Linked DNA regions of Arabidopsis thaliana. The protein of the gene in region 2 purifies or fractionates together with the protein of the main gene of each other region. This does not show direct contact. Each region holds a gene or a part of one and is shown on either strand. Other genes may lie near its edges.

The links. The genes of interacting proteins can lie anywhere in the genome.
Region 1: the proteins of AT2G16200 (region 2) and AT3G02270 fractionate together in Arabidopsis thaliana (co-fractionation; one large-scale study listed by BioGRID). This does not show direct contact.
Region 3: the proteins of AT2G16200 (region 2) and AT3G07300 fractionate together in Arabidopsis thaliana (co-fractionation; one large-scale study listed by BioGRID). This does not show direct contact.

The regions. Positions count from the first base shown.
Region 1 is NC_003074.8:447,358-453,105, forward strand, and holds AT3G02270 (Trimeric LpxA-like enzyme), read right to left. Parts: upstream 3,651-5,748; coding exon 1,620-3,650; downstream 1-1,619. Other genes in the region: BIG (auxin transport protein (BIG)), read right to left, coding at 1-96, 537-643, 811-1,132.
Region 2 is NC_003071.7:7,022,346-7,026,792, reverse strand, and holds AT2G16200 (structural molecule), read right to left. Parts: upstream 2,187-4,447; 5' UTR 2,134-2,186; coding exon 2,077-2,133; intron 2,070-2,076; exon of another isoform or gene 2,028-2,069; coding exon of another isoform or gene 2,013-2,027; intron 1,884-2,012; coding exon 1,689-1,883; 3' UTR 1,562-1,688; downstream 1-1,561.
Region 3 is NC_003074.8:2,322,998-2,329,691, forward strand, and holds AT3G07300 (NagB/RpiA/CoA transferase-like superfamily protein), read right to left. Parts: upstream 4,663-6,694; 5' UTR 4,539-4,662; intron 4,428-4,538; exon of another isoform or gene 4,410-4,427; 5' UTR 4,384-4,409; coding exon 4,331-4,383; intron 4,253-4,330; coding exon 4,098-4,252; intron 4,016-4,097; coding exon 3,722-4,015; intron 3,224-3,721; coding exon 3,094-3,223; intron 2,971-3,093; coding exon 2,863-2,970; intron 2,726-2,862; coding exon 2,623-2,725; intron 2,544-2,622; coding exon 2,418-2,543; intron 2,338-2,417; coding exon 2,150-2,337; intron 2,043-2,149; coding exon 1,970-2,042; 3' UTR 1,620-1,969; downstream 1-1,619. Other genes in the region: AT3G07290 (Pentatricopeptide repeat (PPR) superfamily protein), read right to left, coding at 1-1,385; AT3G07310 (phosphoserine aminotransferase, putative (DUF760)), read right to left, coding at 5,060-5,810, 6,325-6,680.

The sequences.
Region 1 (5,748 bases), on a different chromosome or scaffold from region 2:
TTCTGCAACTTCAGCGGGAGAGAAATCTGGTAATATATCATATTGCTTCTCACTTCCATCAAAAGAAGCAATTTCCAAAAGTATTTCCATGTTGATCTGATTCAAGCAAGCATTTGGAGATATTACTAATGCAGTCAAACTTGATAGAAACAGAGTAAGAAACCAAGTCAGTAGTCCACAAATGTTTTGGTGATAGACAAAGAGTTACTAATGGAAGTAGACCGTAACCATACTATAACCCTCATGGAAAAGGTAAAACGAAAACATGCTGGTTAGCATATGTGACAAAATTCTATGGCGCAACAATGAAAACCTGACCACTAGTGTCAAAAACCTGATAAAGTCTTATAAAACGAGTTCAAACGTCTAATCATCGAAAAACAAACACAAATAAAAACAAATTCTCTAGAAGATATGTCTATGCTCAAAAAGGACCTCAAGCAGATTACCTAGACTTACCCAGTGTACCAAAATAAGACCAACATTAAAGACTTCCCTACTGAATCTCTATCACAAATTAATAATAAAGAACAAACCTCCATTTTGAGATCATTTTGTCTAAAACTTGACTTCTCCAAGAAGCTGAGAGAGAATTCCATCACCTCCTGGATGACACCCAAAACGATTGGTTCGAGTTGGTCCACTAAGATACACCAAAAAAAAAAAAACAGTAAGGAAAATGATTCGAGATCATCACTGTTCAGATGGAAAATAACTAGTAACTCATCTAGGATAGCAACAAAAAAAGCAGATGCCAAAGCTCAGAAAGTGGAAGACGAACTAGAAATGGACAGCTAAATTGATACCGACCTAAACCTTGATTCAGTGTCAAGTCAGTACCTAATAGAGATCGAGATAGTAGAAGGATCGCCTGAGATATCGAAACAAGAGCTTGAAGCTGCGAATCGGACCATGTCTCAAAGCGTAGCTTGCCAGAGGAATCAGCATCGTCTCCGCCGATCGGAGCGACACCCCAGCGAAGGAGGAGATAGAAAGAACGGAGACCGCGCTTGATCGAATCATCGGAGCGTAAACGGCGAGAAAAGAGATCTGAAGATGCCGAAGACGACAAAGAGGGAAAGGCGGTGTCGTCGAAGAGAAATCGGCAGAGATTCGCCAAGTCATCTGCCATTTCTGGCGAGGCGAAAGAAGAAGAGTTCGATGAGGAAAAAGGTTTCTAGAGAAATAGGTATATACAAAAGGAAGAGGAAGGTAAGGGTTTATAAGTAAAGAATCAAAGGCGGTGAAAGAGGACTCTGTGGAGAAGACGATGTTCCTTCTTCTTCGTTTTCATTTCCTTATTCTTTTCTTTCAAAATCAGCCCAAAAATTAATATTTAGATCATTCCTTTATTATTTTTCACTTAGTTAAATTTCTCTAATTCGTTAGATAACTATAATTGTTTTTTTTTGGGAAATACTGTAATAAGCTTCCTATAATACATTTACAAAAACATAAAAGTTGTATTTATATACCTCATACATGTAATGGATGAGATATAAAATAGCACATCATTAGAATAACACATGGAAAAAAAGACAAAGTAATCTCTTCGATGCAAATAATCAATCAGAATGTTCCTTTTGGGAGCCAACGAACACATGTTTACCACCAATTCATTAGCCATCTTCATCGTCAGATGTTTCCTTGAGCCACGTTATGAATGGCTCGCATTGTTTCAGATAAACTTTGTCAGATTCATCAGCTCCGGCTTTCTCATCCGACCATCTCAAGATTGCAACTTCTTGCAAAAGGTCATTCTCTTCCTCATACATATAACGTAAAATATGAGCAAACAAAGTTCCCAACTCATGAGCAGATTCTTCACACATCTCTTCCAATCTCGATATTACTTCTATCTGTTCATCACTTTTCTTTACATAGAACCCAAGAAGTCCCTTCCATCGAGTAATGATACTCGATGCGTTTCTATACAAGTCATTAATAGAGCTATGTGGAGTACTAACTGCTAGTTTCATCATAGAGTAGAATATTGCACCAGCACAATGTGCAGATTCCATGTTATATGACAACCGGAGTGAGTTTATCTCCAAAACCGCAAGGTCGGCTACAATATTCTCTTCGACAGCCCTTAAGAAGGTGCCATCAACCTCTCTCTCAAAGTCAAAGAGATCATTGTTAATACTAGTATTAGCATCGCCGGAAGTTGTGACAACACTTTCATCATCCGTGTCATCATCGTCAATGGCCTTAATGATCTCAGCAAGTTTATCTTTGGGGATTGGTGGAACAGAATGCTTCCACTCGTCTTCACACGCTTGGCGCCATATGTAACCTGCTCCATCAAGACCAAGCTTAGACTCCATTTGCAAATCTACACCTGACAAAAGATTTTCTTCATCACTGTCTTCTTCCATTGGTTGTCGGAGTAGTGAAACCTGTGAATATGCAGGTACAACAAAGTCCCTCCCGACTACAACCTTAAAAGACAACACAACACCAGGTTTCACAATAGCTCCTGCACACACTTTCACCTCATCACATACAATAGCATTCCTTATCTCACATCCATCTTCAACCGTAACATTGTTCCATATGTATGAGCCTTGGATCACCACATTTGATCCAATAGAACATCCATTCCCAATAACAGAGTTCAAGATCTTAGTCCCACTCCCAATATTTGTGGCATGTCCAATGACATAGGAAGCTCCAACATGAGCAGATGGTAACTGAGTAGCATCAGAAGCCTTGTAGATCCCTTGTCTCTCGAGCTTAAGAGTGCGATTTCCGCTGAACTTCATATCCGGTACATACGGGAATGTCCGCCTCTGGATTATATCCTTGCTCACCATGTCATAGCTCCTGAAATTTTCAATCCTAGAAGCATAACACGAGCTAATCTCATGAGTGAAAATCTTGTAACCGATAATGTCATCAGCAAGAACACCTTCCACAAAATCACAACGCATATGTTGGTAATCGAAGTTATCCACAAATAGACTAAGCACCTCAAGAGAACATATGTCAATGTAACAATCCTGCATATCACTACATAACAAAACAGATGGATTACGATCCAGCAATGATTTATCGAAGCAGATGTTGTCCTCATCGTAATAAAGAAGCTGTTTTGTTAAAGGATTTACAGCGATGAAGAGTTGATGATCGGTGATGAGTGACTGTCTGATAACCATAGTCATGATAGCTTTCTCATCTTTCTTTTTTCTATCTCTGTGTTCTTGAATCAGCTGCGTCAGGGGCATGTTACTAACAATACATCCATTAACAAGAACAAAGTCACCTTGAATCTGAGACGTCTCAATCTGCTGCTCGTAGATATAACGCAAAGCATCACCAGCACTGGTGGAGTTTTGCGGTGACTCTATAGTTTTTACCGTAAAGTCTTTGTGCGAGTACCAGTCAGAGTTGTTCAGATAATCGATGACTTGCATCGAGCAAAAGACGAAAACTTCTTCTATGCCAGCAGATTCGAGCCAAGCTAAGGTGTAATCAATCATGGGAATATTCACTAGCGGTAACAAGACATTGGGGCGTTCTAAGGTTAAGGGAAGGAGTTTCGTGGCGAAACTGTCAGCGAGAAGAATGGCTTGTAACCGTTGACGGCGACTCTGTTCCTCCTCTGAATCCTCTGAAATCTTCGCAGCACGTTTCTTACGAGAAGCCATTATCTGATCTCCCTTCTCTCTCTCTCACTCTCTGAAAATTTTGATCGAAAATGTCTGCAGGGTGCGAGTACCATTTCAGACTTGGGAAATTTGAAAAACTCTGTTTTGATTATTCAAAGACTTTCTCAAAGTCAAAACTTCTTGCAGTGATAACGTCTTTTTTGTTCCTAAACGTCACGTGTTTGGCCTTTTGAGAGAACCGGATTTTCTATTTTGTCGGTTCCATTTGAGATTTGGATCAAATTTGTTTTAACAAGTAATAAAAGCCCAAGTGATAGATAGAAACCACTTTCGAGGTTTTGAGAGTGACATAAAAACGAGGACTATATGGGCTTATTCCAGGCCTGAGCTAAATTTAAGGCCCAATCGTTTGTTATTAATTATAGACATTAAATGTCCCAAACGAAAACTAAAAGAGATGGAAAAAAAAAAAAAAAAAAAACGAAAACTATAAGAAAAAGCCCTAGCAGTCTGTTCTTCTCAACTCAAGTTTGGGCGAATCCACCATGAAAGTAATCTTCTACGCTTTTAGTGTTTTTTCTAATAAGCTTAACTTTTGTTAGAGCTCATCTCTAATTTTTATGGTATAAACCAATTGTTATGCTATTTTTTAAAAATATTGTATAATGTTATAGTATACTCGATAACTATGTCATAAAAGTGGCAAAAACTTTTCTAGTGAAGAAAACATATCAACTCACTTTGATTTCTTTAGGGGCTCAGCTAAATCTAGTTTTAATGGTTGCAGAACAAAATGAAAATAAAAATTTTAGTATCTCAAAATCTAGTTTCTATTTTTTTTTTGTGACAGTAATCAATGATTTCAAAATAACCAAAAACCTCGTAATAAGATTCAATTGAATCTTAAAACTACACAACTTTCAGAACTAAAGAATGACGAAAAACGAAATAATAGAGGAGAAGTGGAGGAGCTACTACACAACTATTTTCATTTTTCTAACCAATCAGAGCGCACCGGACTACGCCCACTCGCACCAACTTCGCGTCACGCGCTCCGGACCACGCCCACTCGCATCAACCTCGCGTTGAGCGCGTGTCGTCGATTTCTGTAGGGGTAAACCCACAAAATCATGCCTATTTTACATCTACTCGCTTTGTTTCCAAAACAGCCTCGAGTGACTTTTTCTTTTGTTTTTTTTTTCTCAAAACCGTACTATTCTAATACAAACCGAACCAAAATTAATTTTCATTTCACAACCATCTAAACCAAACAGAAATCACTTGTAATTTCAAAACCTATGTACGCCGAACCGAAATCTATTGTCATTTCATCAAAACCATGTAAAAAGCTTCTTCGATTGTTTTAACATGCAACTGAAAATAACAATCCTAATTTATCAACAGAGAAATATAGAGATACCAACGAAACTATGGGGATGACAAGTTATCATCTTATCCACATCTCTGTCCAGTGTGAGTTTCACGATCGTTGATTTAATAGGTAACAAGGACCAGAAGCTGCGGCAGCAATGAAAGCTGATCTTGTTTCAAAGCCACCGCCAAGTCTTTTGGTTTTGCATACCGCTTTCACACATTGGAAGACCAAGGAACATGAGACACATACTTCTGCTGACCTATATAGGAATCATAAGTAACCACCAATGTTGGCATAAGCAGAGAGTATGAAAACTTTTGTTACTAATTTAACATAAAAACAGTATGATAACAAAATGAATACATGCGTAAACTCTGCTTCTTCTAAGACACATATATACTAAAAGTTCCCCATTTGAGGCTCCATTTAAGAATGAAATTGAACAATTGAGGTTCAAATTTTCTTACTTGTCCCACAGATGTTTCCACCAATGCAAACCACTTGAGCTGTTCAATAAAAGCCTTGCAACACTTGGGATATAATCGGAAATTAGATGACAATAAAACGAACCTCTGAGATATTCGACAAGGTATTTCTTAACTTGAGTAAGGTCTGAAACGATTTAACTACTCTACCTTTGATTTTGAGAAGATGATTACAGTTGTGATTTTGGTGGAGACAAAAATGTCCATCTATGTATGTTGCTAGCCATCTTTTTTCAGATACTTTTGTCTTATTTTCGAGTTACAAGTTACAAGGCAC
Region 2 (4,447 bases):
TTATCAACTCAATGGTAACCTTTTATTGTCAATTTGGCTGGTCATGCATATCTGGAAAACTTCAGTTTGAATCTTTATTTCTTGGCCTCTAAAATTAAGTATGGATTCTGAAGAAACGAAGACACAATCCACGTCTGAGAAGGATGACCTAAACCGATAAGCCAACAACAACAATTGATGTTCTGTTCGTTCTGTTGCAATGTGCGTGACCTGTTTGAACATCATCTTAATTAGTCTACCACGTCCATTTTTATCTCCTTGGTATGAATATCCTGAAGAAGACAAGCTTGGAGGCCCACTTAGACGTTAAATCAGCCCATTTTTGTGTTTCTTAACCGACTAAAATCGGATAAATAAATTCACGAAAGCTAGGTCTCTTTAGTAGTATATAAGCTAGGTTTCTCTAGGTCTTACATTAATATGTAAATTTTAACAAATCTCCTTCTTCGTTCGATCTGAAATCATGAATTCATATTCCTTAACGAATGATCTCATCATGGAGATATTGTCGAGATTGCCAGCAGAGTCGGTCGTGAGGTTTTGTTGCGTGTCAAAGCGATGGGCATCAATGTTTGGTACTCCATATTTCAAGGAGTTGTGCCGGACCAGGTCCACGGCTAATCCGCGCCTCTTATTCTCAGTCTGATTCTGAATCTGAATCTGATTGATGATATTCTGCGTGTAAATTGTATTGCTTCAACTTCGGAAGGAACACTCTCTAACGTGTTGAAATACAAGGTTTTGGTGAAGCAGTTACGAAACCTTGTAGCGTTTGCACCTTTGTAAACCACGGGGAGAATCATAATGTTAACGATTTAGAACAGCTCAAGTCAGTCCATCCTCCATTGGTGGAGCCAGAATATCATCAATCAGATTCAGATTCAGAATCAGACTGAGAAGGGACAAGGAGAGAAGAAGGATAGAGACGATCATTGGAGTCAGGTGAAAGCAAAGGGCATGTCATTTTGTTCTCTTACCTATGCGTTTCTTTTTTTATCTCTTGAACGAGCTTTATACATGTATCTTTCATTTTGTTTGGTCTCAAGAACAAGGTTTTGCAGTTTCTTTTAGTTCTCTGTCTTAATCTTGATTATTTATGCTTAACATTTTCAACATTGTTTCTTCTGGATGAGAATGGTCCTTTGTTCTTTTTCAACATCTTGTACTGTTTGTCATTTGTGTGTGATGGGACTAATTTATTTCATGATGACACTTTGGACTCAAATACTTAATGGGATTTGTATTTGTAAAAATGTTCACTGATTTTTCACTGTAATTGAAGGAAACATTCCTTCAGTTCTATCATTTTTTGAAAGGTTGAAACTTTTGGTTCTCTGTAACAATGGGTCTCTTGAGCTGTCTTTGAAAGATGTAACAGTCCTTGTGGGCTTTGTTGCTTCTCTAAGTTTTTTTTGTCTGAATGTGAATCGACTTTAGCAACTGAATCGATTGAACAGGTTACTAGTTATTAGTATTCTTCTGCCACCGTACTATAATTAAACAAACTTGTGTGAATCAACGAAAGAAGAAACGATCCACTACGACATATCCTCAAATAAGCTCATCAAAAGAATATTTATACTAATGGTAAAAAGTAGCAAACTCAAAAAAATGTTTAGAGAAATGACAATAAGCACTTTTCAAGACCAAAAGCGAAAGGGAAAGATCCCTGCGAACCTTTGATATGTTTAGCCGTTAGCAACAAGTGCGTGAATCGCATCGCTGACAGATGGATCCTCTGCTCGAACAGCCAGTTTCATTACAATTTCCTTTGAGCTGTCCATTCCAAACTGTGCCTTCACCAACACTTTCACGTTCCCTATATACAAACCTGATGGTAAACATGTGTGTGATCTTGCGTTGCTTGCAACCGTCTCCGTACCCTGAACCCGAAACCCCCGAAACAATTATCATAAGAATTAAGAAGAACAACAATGCCAGATCATATCTCAGTTATGATTTTTTTTTATGCTAATGAAAAATGTATTAACGTATGAAGAAGCGCGCCTAACCTTACAAGACTGCATGCCAAGAAGATCAGTTACAGCTTTTACAGCTTCCCCTAAACTGTCCCACTTTTAACAGGGATGTGCAGCTTAATTCCTTTAGCTCCAATGTTTTATAAAGATCCATTTTGTCTCCCGCAAAAGTGATTCATTTCCCTCTTTCGAAAACAAGCATTATTAGCCGTCCGTGGTGAATGTGTATGGCTACTTTATATAACTAACTCTGTTTCAACTTGAAAGAAAATGCCACCACTTTAATAAAGAAACACTAAAGGAAAACAAATGATACGAATGATAGTTTTTTATAAATTTTTCTCTTTCATTTTACGTCTTACTATTGCGGCGGCATGTGTAACCTTGTTAACAAATTTTACCTGCCATATTAAATATATTTATTGTTTTGCATTAACAGTTTACAATATCACTTTTTTGTAATAAAACAAAATTTACTTAAACTACATATAAATAAAAACAGTGGAAGTTTAACCAAAATATATTATATTTTATTATGTAAACTATGGTTTTTAAAGTTAATAACTCACATGATTGTGGCACGTGTCAAATCTATCGACCAAATATAGATATGAATTAAATAATTGATTTTTTTTCCTTTACAGAAATAGCAAAATTAAAAAATAAAACAAATTTACATATACTAATTTATATAATTATATCTAAAAAAAAATATTTTTCTTAACCAAAAGATAAATTAACAAATTTGTTTTTATATGTGTTATTGATCAATTAAAATTTAACATTTATTAACAAAATTTGTATTTATCATTGTATTATAGTATTTTCATTCGTTATATTAGATCAAAAAATATTAATGAGTTTATGAGAATAAATTTTGAATTACTATGCTTTATTCGAAGAATTATAAAGCATCATATCATGTGATAGAAGGTCTTGCATCCTTTATAAATTATAACCGTCTAGTTACACCTATTTAGTGCGAACCATTTTTTCGTGAAAGGTATGCAATTTTATTAAAACACTAGATGTTGACCTGCGGTACACCGCGGGTCTATATTTTCTTTAAAAAGTTATTTTTTATTTTAATTAATATTATTTATATATGAATAACATATTCAAGAGATATATTACGGGTCTATAATTTTATTAAATAAAAATTGATTTTTTTGTCTTTAAAATGATTTATATATATATATATAGGCCATTGTTTTTTTAATGTATGATACACCTTGTGACGATTTTTATAACTAAAATTTATATTTAATTTTAAATTGTATCTGTTGTGTTAATATTATTTATTTTGTTTAGTGTTTACAATTGTATAATTATGTTTTGATTGTTAATTCTAGGGTTTCACCCATAATATATCATCCCGTAATAATATCGATCAAGACATATCCCATATAACCATGTCCCATGAAGTTAAACATCATTTTATTATTTTCTTATAAAATTCAAATACTATAAATATTTGAAACTTCAAAAACAAAATTAATATTGATCTAAACTTTATAATTGTATTTTGATTATTATATCTAAGATTTTGTCATAGTTTTATAAACTTCAAATATTTATAATAATAGAACTTCAAAAAAACTTATTTCGATCCAAACTTCATTTAATTGTTATATCTAGAACTTTATATGTGGTATATCGTCCCATATTAACATCTTTTTTAAGTATTTATAATGTTTAATTTTATAATATTCAAACTTTTTATAACGTTCAAATATTTATAATATTTAAATCTTCATAAAAGTTTTAAAATTATAAATATTTAAAACGTTGTAAAGTTTAGTATTTATAATATTTTGAAACTTTTTAAAGTTTTGAGTCCTTAAAAAAAATACCGGAGTAAACCGGTTAACATTCTAAATTTTGGATGCCTGATAAATCAAGCTTTTTGCTCATTCGTATTAAGAATCATCTTGATCCTTTTTATAGTATGACTTTGAACCATTGCCCATTTTTGTAAGCAATGTACAACCTGTAGATATATTTTGTTTTCTTCATCGGTATGTCAGTTTTTTAAAATTTGAATTACATTGTATGCAGAAAAAAATCTAACATTTATTAACGATATGTATTTTTATATAAAATCAAAGTAAATTAGAAATAAGAACAAATAAAAGTGAAATTTTTTTATATATTTATATTTAATGTAGGTAAAGAGAGTTTAGGTAATTAGCAATTAATTAAATGTAGTGCAATAAAGATAAAATTTAATTATGGATATATATTTAAGATAATATCTTCTTAGAATAAATTTTGTAGGGACTCAAAACTAAATATTATTTACTTTTGGACAAAAATTCGCTGGACTCAATTATAATTATTCATAAATTGGATGTTAAGAAAGGAAAGTATTTATGTAAGTGTTTAATGTTGATTGATGATTTGTAAGTTTTGTACTTTAAAATATTTTGTTTAGATATTTTTGGTAGAGATTAAAAACTAAATAGTAT
Region 3 (6,694 bases), on a different chromosome or scaffold from region 2:
TTGTAAGCCGTATTCATATGGCCTTCTCTACAAAGCCCATCGATCAAAACATTATAGCTCACAATGTCAGGTGACAGGCCATTGTCCAGCATTCTCTTCAAAAGGTGCACAGCCTTGTACGGTTTCCCGACTCTACACAACCCTTCCATAAGCTCGTTAAAAGTTCTTACATTTGGTTTGCAAGCCCTCTTCTCCATTACAGTAAGAAGCTCAAAAGCGGGAACAACCCGTCCATCTTTGCAGTAGCCATTTATCAACGCATTGTAAGTTATTACACTAGGAAATATCCTGTCTTTAACCATCTTTCGACAAACCCCATTAGCCTCTTCAATCTTTCCGTCTCTACACAACCCATCAATCAAAACAGTGTAAGTGTGGACGTTTGGTTTACACCCTCTAGGAATCATCTCATCAAACAAGTTAAAAGCTTTATCAATCAAACCTCTATCGCACAAGGCTTTAATAAGCACAGTATATGTACGTGTGCTTGGTTGGCAACCTTTCTCACCCATTTGATCTTTTAGGCCAAATGCTTCTTCAAGTCTCCCTACTTCACACAACCCGTGAATCAAAATGGAGTAACTAACAGAGTTCGGTGCACAAGTTACCTCCTTAGACATTACATCAAACACCTTGAGTGCATCTCTGAGATTCAATCCACGGCAAAAACCCAGTAACAAAGAAGTGCCTATATGGGAATCTAACACAAACCCAATTTTAAGAATCTTAGACATGAACATCTCAGCGGCTTCCGTGTATCCATTCTTACACAGAGCATTGACAATGGTTCTGTAATCAATCATACCAACAACAAATCCGTCAGCTTCCATTCTTCTATAAGTCACGTAAGCCAAAAATCCTAAATCAAGTTTAGCTAAGGACATCAAAAGAGAGCTGTAACAAGGGTAATTTAACCGGAACCCAAAAACTTCTCTCAGCTCATCAAAACAATACATTAGTTTCAACATCTCTTTCTCGCATCTACTACATTCCTTGATCAACGCAACAATAACAGCATGCGCAACTCGATACAATCCGGAAGAAACAATCAGTTTCAAAAGCTGATTTTTCTGAGTTGGGTCGAAACAATACGACGAATGCTTGCAGACCCACATGAAAAAGCGAACGCAAATATCGTTGTCACTGCGTTGAAGCGAAATGACCTGTGAAGCGACATTTGGATTCATGTGAGAGACTAGAGATTTAAGAGAACTGTTCTTCTCCCAATTGGGGGTTTTTAGCAAAGATGCGACATCATGAGCCGCCACTTCGTCCGAGGAAGACAGAGAAGGTCGAGAAGAGACGGAGAAGAAGGCATTAGAAGGAAAAACATGACGCCCCAAAGCTAAGATCTTTCGAGTACTTCTGATATGTATCAGCAGCATACACAGTACACAGATTGAAAGGAGCCGGAGAGAAACAATAAAAATGTTAACTTTAACTAGTGGGGTTTAGGGTTTTACTTTTATCTCTCTGGCTATTTTGAACAATGGTGTTTATGCAGGTGTTGTCGTCTGTCTGAATATTTTCACGGCGAAGATATAGTGATCCGGTTATGAGGTAATTGAAATTGAACCGTACCGAACCAATGCATCGCCTCACACTTATCAAGTAAAATTGCACCCAAAACTTTAATTAGTTAAAATAAGATGTCCTGTCCACCTCCAGTGGTAATTCTCGTATTAGCAAATACAAAAGCCAACCAAAGAAAAACGTTGTGTTGAAAGAGAAGTATACTATCAAGTAACAATAGACACCATTGAGACTGAGCTAAAGGAATTACCCAAGACACGGCAAAAATAAACTTGGCCTGACAATTTCAGACACTAAGATGTTTCTCTTTTTCATTCACAATCCTTGAGCAACTGTTTTTGTGCAATGTACATATATTCTTCAATTGTGAATGACCGACTATCCGACTGAATGTTGTATAGTTCCCACCAAGTGACCGAAAACTAGTCCTTTATCGCTACATCACCAAATCATCAGCAGAGTAGTAGTCCGCAATAAGACGGTACATGTAGGATGGATTGTGTCCTCCCCTGTAACCAAAAAGGTAACGCTATCACCAACCCTTTATCCAAAAAAGTAATGCCATGAAAATGGACCAACCTAAGAATATAGCAAAGATTATATATAGGAGACTTACGTGTCTGTTATAAAGAGACTAACAAGGTTTGGTGGGACATAATCGAATGTTGGGTTGACAACTTGAAGAGACCCGGAACCTGCTCCAAAATCCAGGCAATCAGAGAATTCACCAAAATCCAACAGTTCAGATGGAGATCTCAGCTCATTTAGTAATACTTCCGGATTGTGAGGATAGAGGGGACACAACTGTTATTACATTGGAAACCCTAAGTCAAGTTTTGAGAGCAAAAAACAGTTTGAGAAATTAAATACAACTCGAAACCAACCTTGTGACTACCAGCAAGAACCACGAATGGGACTGCGTGCTTTTGTGCTGCAAGAGCAGCCATGTTGACACCAACTGGCCCTATAACTCCACCATTAGCCATCACTGCATGAGCTCCAATTATAACCTGTGCATTTTCACATCATTGCAAATTATTTAGAAGACAAGGACAAGAAAACATAAAGTTGGGTAGGAATGAATTGTACCATATTCACTCGAGATATCATAGCAAACACTGCAGAGTCGGTGATCACAGTTGTCTGCAAACCTCTAGCTACCAATTCTTTTGCTAATAGATGGCCCTGATATCTAATATAATAGAATAGAAATGGAAGAAAATTTGATACAGCTGAGTTAGATGGACAAATCAGAGAGAATATAAAAATGTTGAGAGAAAACACTAACAATGGTAATGATGAAACATATAGTAAAGGGAGAAACCAAACCTTGGAGCACCTTCGGCAACAAATACACGAAAAGATCTTTTTTTCTCCTTTGCAGCACACAGAAACTCAAGCACTGTTCTTGAGCTACCCAGGGTTAGGATCACCTCACTGAAAAAATAGAATTTAGGCAATACAAAAGTGATCATCACGAAAAGACACTGAGAAACGACCATTTTAGTTCTCCATGTATAACATGTTAAAGATAAATAATGCTATAGAAAAGAAAAGTACTTTTGATGTATATGCTCTATAGCTTGTTCAGCGATCTGCTCATGACAACCAGCAATCTCTTGAATAAGTTGATTCACTCCTTCGATAACATCATGCTTCAGCTTCCGAGTTAACGAACTTTTATCGGCAGCTAAACAAAAGGGTATATTAGACCATTAATATCAACCAAAAACAGTAAAATATTCTTGCTGCCATATAAAATTTTGATCTATGGTTCATTTATGATATAATCCCAATAAAGTGAGACGAACCACCTAAAAAAGTAGACTGATAAGAACATATATGATTCTCATTTATCTCTATAACTCAGCAACACAACACAAACTCACAGGTAATTCCAGCAACAAAACTACAGGAACCAGTAAAATAGGGTTTGCTTAAACTCTCCCAAGCCTAAATGCCCTAAAGCAAAACCAAAACCACTGAGACCTAAATCTGTCTACGATAGCTAAAAAGAAAACCTTATATATCAGCTTGTAAAAGAGAATATGAGCCAACATTATTAAATTCCAGCGATAACACTTATCTTCAATGGTTTATCAAAGACATCAGTAAAACAGACGGCATAAGGACCTACTGAAAAAAAAACAGTATGTGCAAAGGAGAGCCAAAGGCATGAAAAAGGTACATTTACTTTTGCTTTCGGAATCAGCACCAGATGAAGATGTGTATGGAACAGTTGCAGATTCAGGAGTGCCCTCGAGAAGCGTTTGCAAAGATGGAGGGCGTAATGTACTCCTAGCTGCAGCTGCAACAACTGCTGCAGACATTGCAGGAAACCCAATTCCTTTGCAATTGTCTACATCATCATCATCACTTGCATCCAACAAGTCCAAACCACCCATAGCTGCTGTAGTTAGAGAAAGATCTTCCTCCCTTATAATATGCAAAACCCGTCTAACTACATTTCCCACCGCAAGCTCTACAAAAATCATATCCGTATATATCAATTCCTTTCACAGACTAAGAGAGAAGAAGCAAAAAGAGAGTTTAAGAAGACATACCAACAGGATTAGCAGCGATCAATTGCTCACCAACAGCTTTCACAGCATCGATAAGAGCGGCAGCTTGGTTAGCGTGAGGCACCCGCTGATGCGAAATTACTGACCTAAGTAGCTCTACGGTGTATTTGGCTGTAGCCTGTGAGCCCTCAATCTTACTGTATGAGATAATGATCCAATCAGCAACTATATTCACAAAGGGTTTTACGAAATTAAGCCAGAAAGAAAGAATTTACCGCTTTCTGAGCTTGTTAACAAATTCCACCACCGTTGATTGAACGTCTGGCATCTTCTTTAACCGAAATTAACGAGAAACTTGAGAAAATGCGAAACCTGAGGCGTTAGATTTCATAAACCCTAATCACGCGCGATTCGCGGCGGGAGGAAGAAGAAAATGGGAGAAGCCTAATGTGGAAGATGAGGAAGCAAAATGGATATGCTTACCAGTGAATATGTGACGGTGGTGGGGCGATAAGGAGATGAAGTAGCAAAAATCTTCCGGCGAGAGAGAAACGGAATTGATAATAGGAGACCAGATTTTTACATTCATTCGCTCTAGTGACAATTGAAGGTTTTTTGGTAGGTCTAACTTTTGGGCCGAAATAAGGTGCTATTTGGGCCTAAAATAAGCCCAAAAATACAAGCATTATCAAAGTATCTCCTTCCCTTTGCATAGCTTCTTTGGGACCCAAATTTTAGTTTTGTTTTTGAGGTTTTGAGTCTTTTGACAAAAGGAGAAAGATCAAATTGAACAAGGAAACTTAACACATAACATAAAATTGAACCCAACTACAGTATCTCTTATTCCTTATAACCACACCACATTCTTATTCAGAAATCAAAATATTTCTAAGCAAGATCTATACATTGAACTGAACAACTGCCTGAGAGATTCGGCAGAAACATTTCTCTATATATACACTACCAGAAGATCATGAAGCTTTTCTTCTAACCAGACTTGTTCATCATATGCTTTTCTTTCCTTCTTGTTCTTCTGCATTCCCATTCTCCTTCAGCTTATATGCACCATCTACATACAATTCCGTGTCCCACAGGAATGTCCCAAACGCCACAGCCTCGAGAACCAACCGCTTCAGACTCGAAAACGATGTCACTATGGTCTCATCACTCTCTTCCGTGCCAAAAAGAGCCAAACTTTGCTTCTCTATCAGATTCCTTGCCTCCTCTGTCCTTGGTTTTGCGCATCTCTGCAATGTCTCGGGATCAAAGTCTGAGATGTAATGTCTCAGCTGCTGCTTGTTGGAGATCTGTGCAGTGCCCGTTGTGAATGAGCATCCAAAGATGGGACTTTTCAGATATCCGCTTCCATGAATATCTGATAAGGAACACTCAAGCTGGTGCCTTAGGGAAGCTGATTTCAAGAAGTAACCGTACAAGATCGAGGCAGCATATACTTTCCTGAGATGCAGTTTCTGTATCTGCGTTGTTGCCCAATTGTCAGTCACACATGAGTTGACCCGTAATCCGATGACTGCGCTAACGTGTTCTTTGATGATCTCAAGGGTATCGCAGCTGTAAATTGACTCTAACTCCCAGTCTTTTGAAGGCCAGATCTCGAGTCTTCCATTATAGATGCATCTGGATAGCTTTGGAACAAGAGGGACTCTTATCTCGGAGTATTTGTAAAAGATTAACATGTACATTATGTCTTGGACTGCAGTTTTACAGTAGCGTTCCTTGAGTTCAGCTATCCTTCTGCCAACCATGGAATCAGAGTGTTAGTGTTCGTAAAAGAGCAGAAGATAGTTGAGAAAATGTTCACAAACAGAGCATAAAATGGCCTGAGCAAGTCAGAGAGTTTAACACAGGCAAGAAACTAAAATATACGGAAACTATTTAACGAACTAAGCAACAATGAAATGTAAAAAAGCAAAACCAGCCCTTATCAAACACTAAAACAAAACTTGCTTCACAAGGCAGAGTATGAGAAAGCACCTGAAGATCATAACTACAGAATTCTCTTGTTTCAATTCAACCATATCATTAGTGTGATTCTCAAATCATCATAAACTGATAAACACCATCAAACAACTTATAATCAAACTTTACAAGCTTATGTGATAAATACTAATAAAATACTGATTTGTGGTCGATTAAATAAGAGTATGTAAGTAATGATTTACACATATTTCTTTGTATGTTTATAATTCTACAGCTGTTTACGGATCTTTGAATTGTGAGAGATTAGATAAGGAAAGGTTTCACGGACCTGTGGAGAGAAGCCTCATCGGAACCAGAGCTGAGAGACATACGAGCTAAAGCAGCTTCCCTATCATCAGCCAGTTGCTTTAGCTCATCAGCGGCGGCGTAATGAAATAGCTGCCGTTTGTTTAGCAACACGCTTCTCAGAAACCTCCCCTGCGCCGATCGTGGCTCAAGCGGCGCGTTTAGACTGCTTCCAGGCTCACACCGACTCTGTCCCGCCGCCGCAACCACAACCATCGAACTATACTGGATCTTCCTCTTCGCCGGAATAACAAAACCACCGCCTCCATCGCCGCTCTGTCTCCTGGAACGCGACGGGAGAAACTGAAGCGCCGTTTGATTAGAGAGACAACTATCCATTGATCAGATTTGAG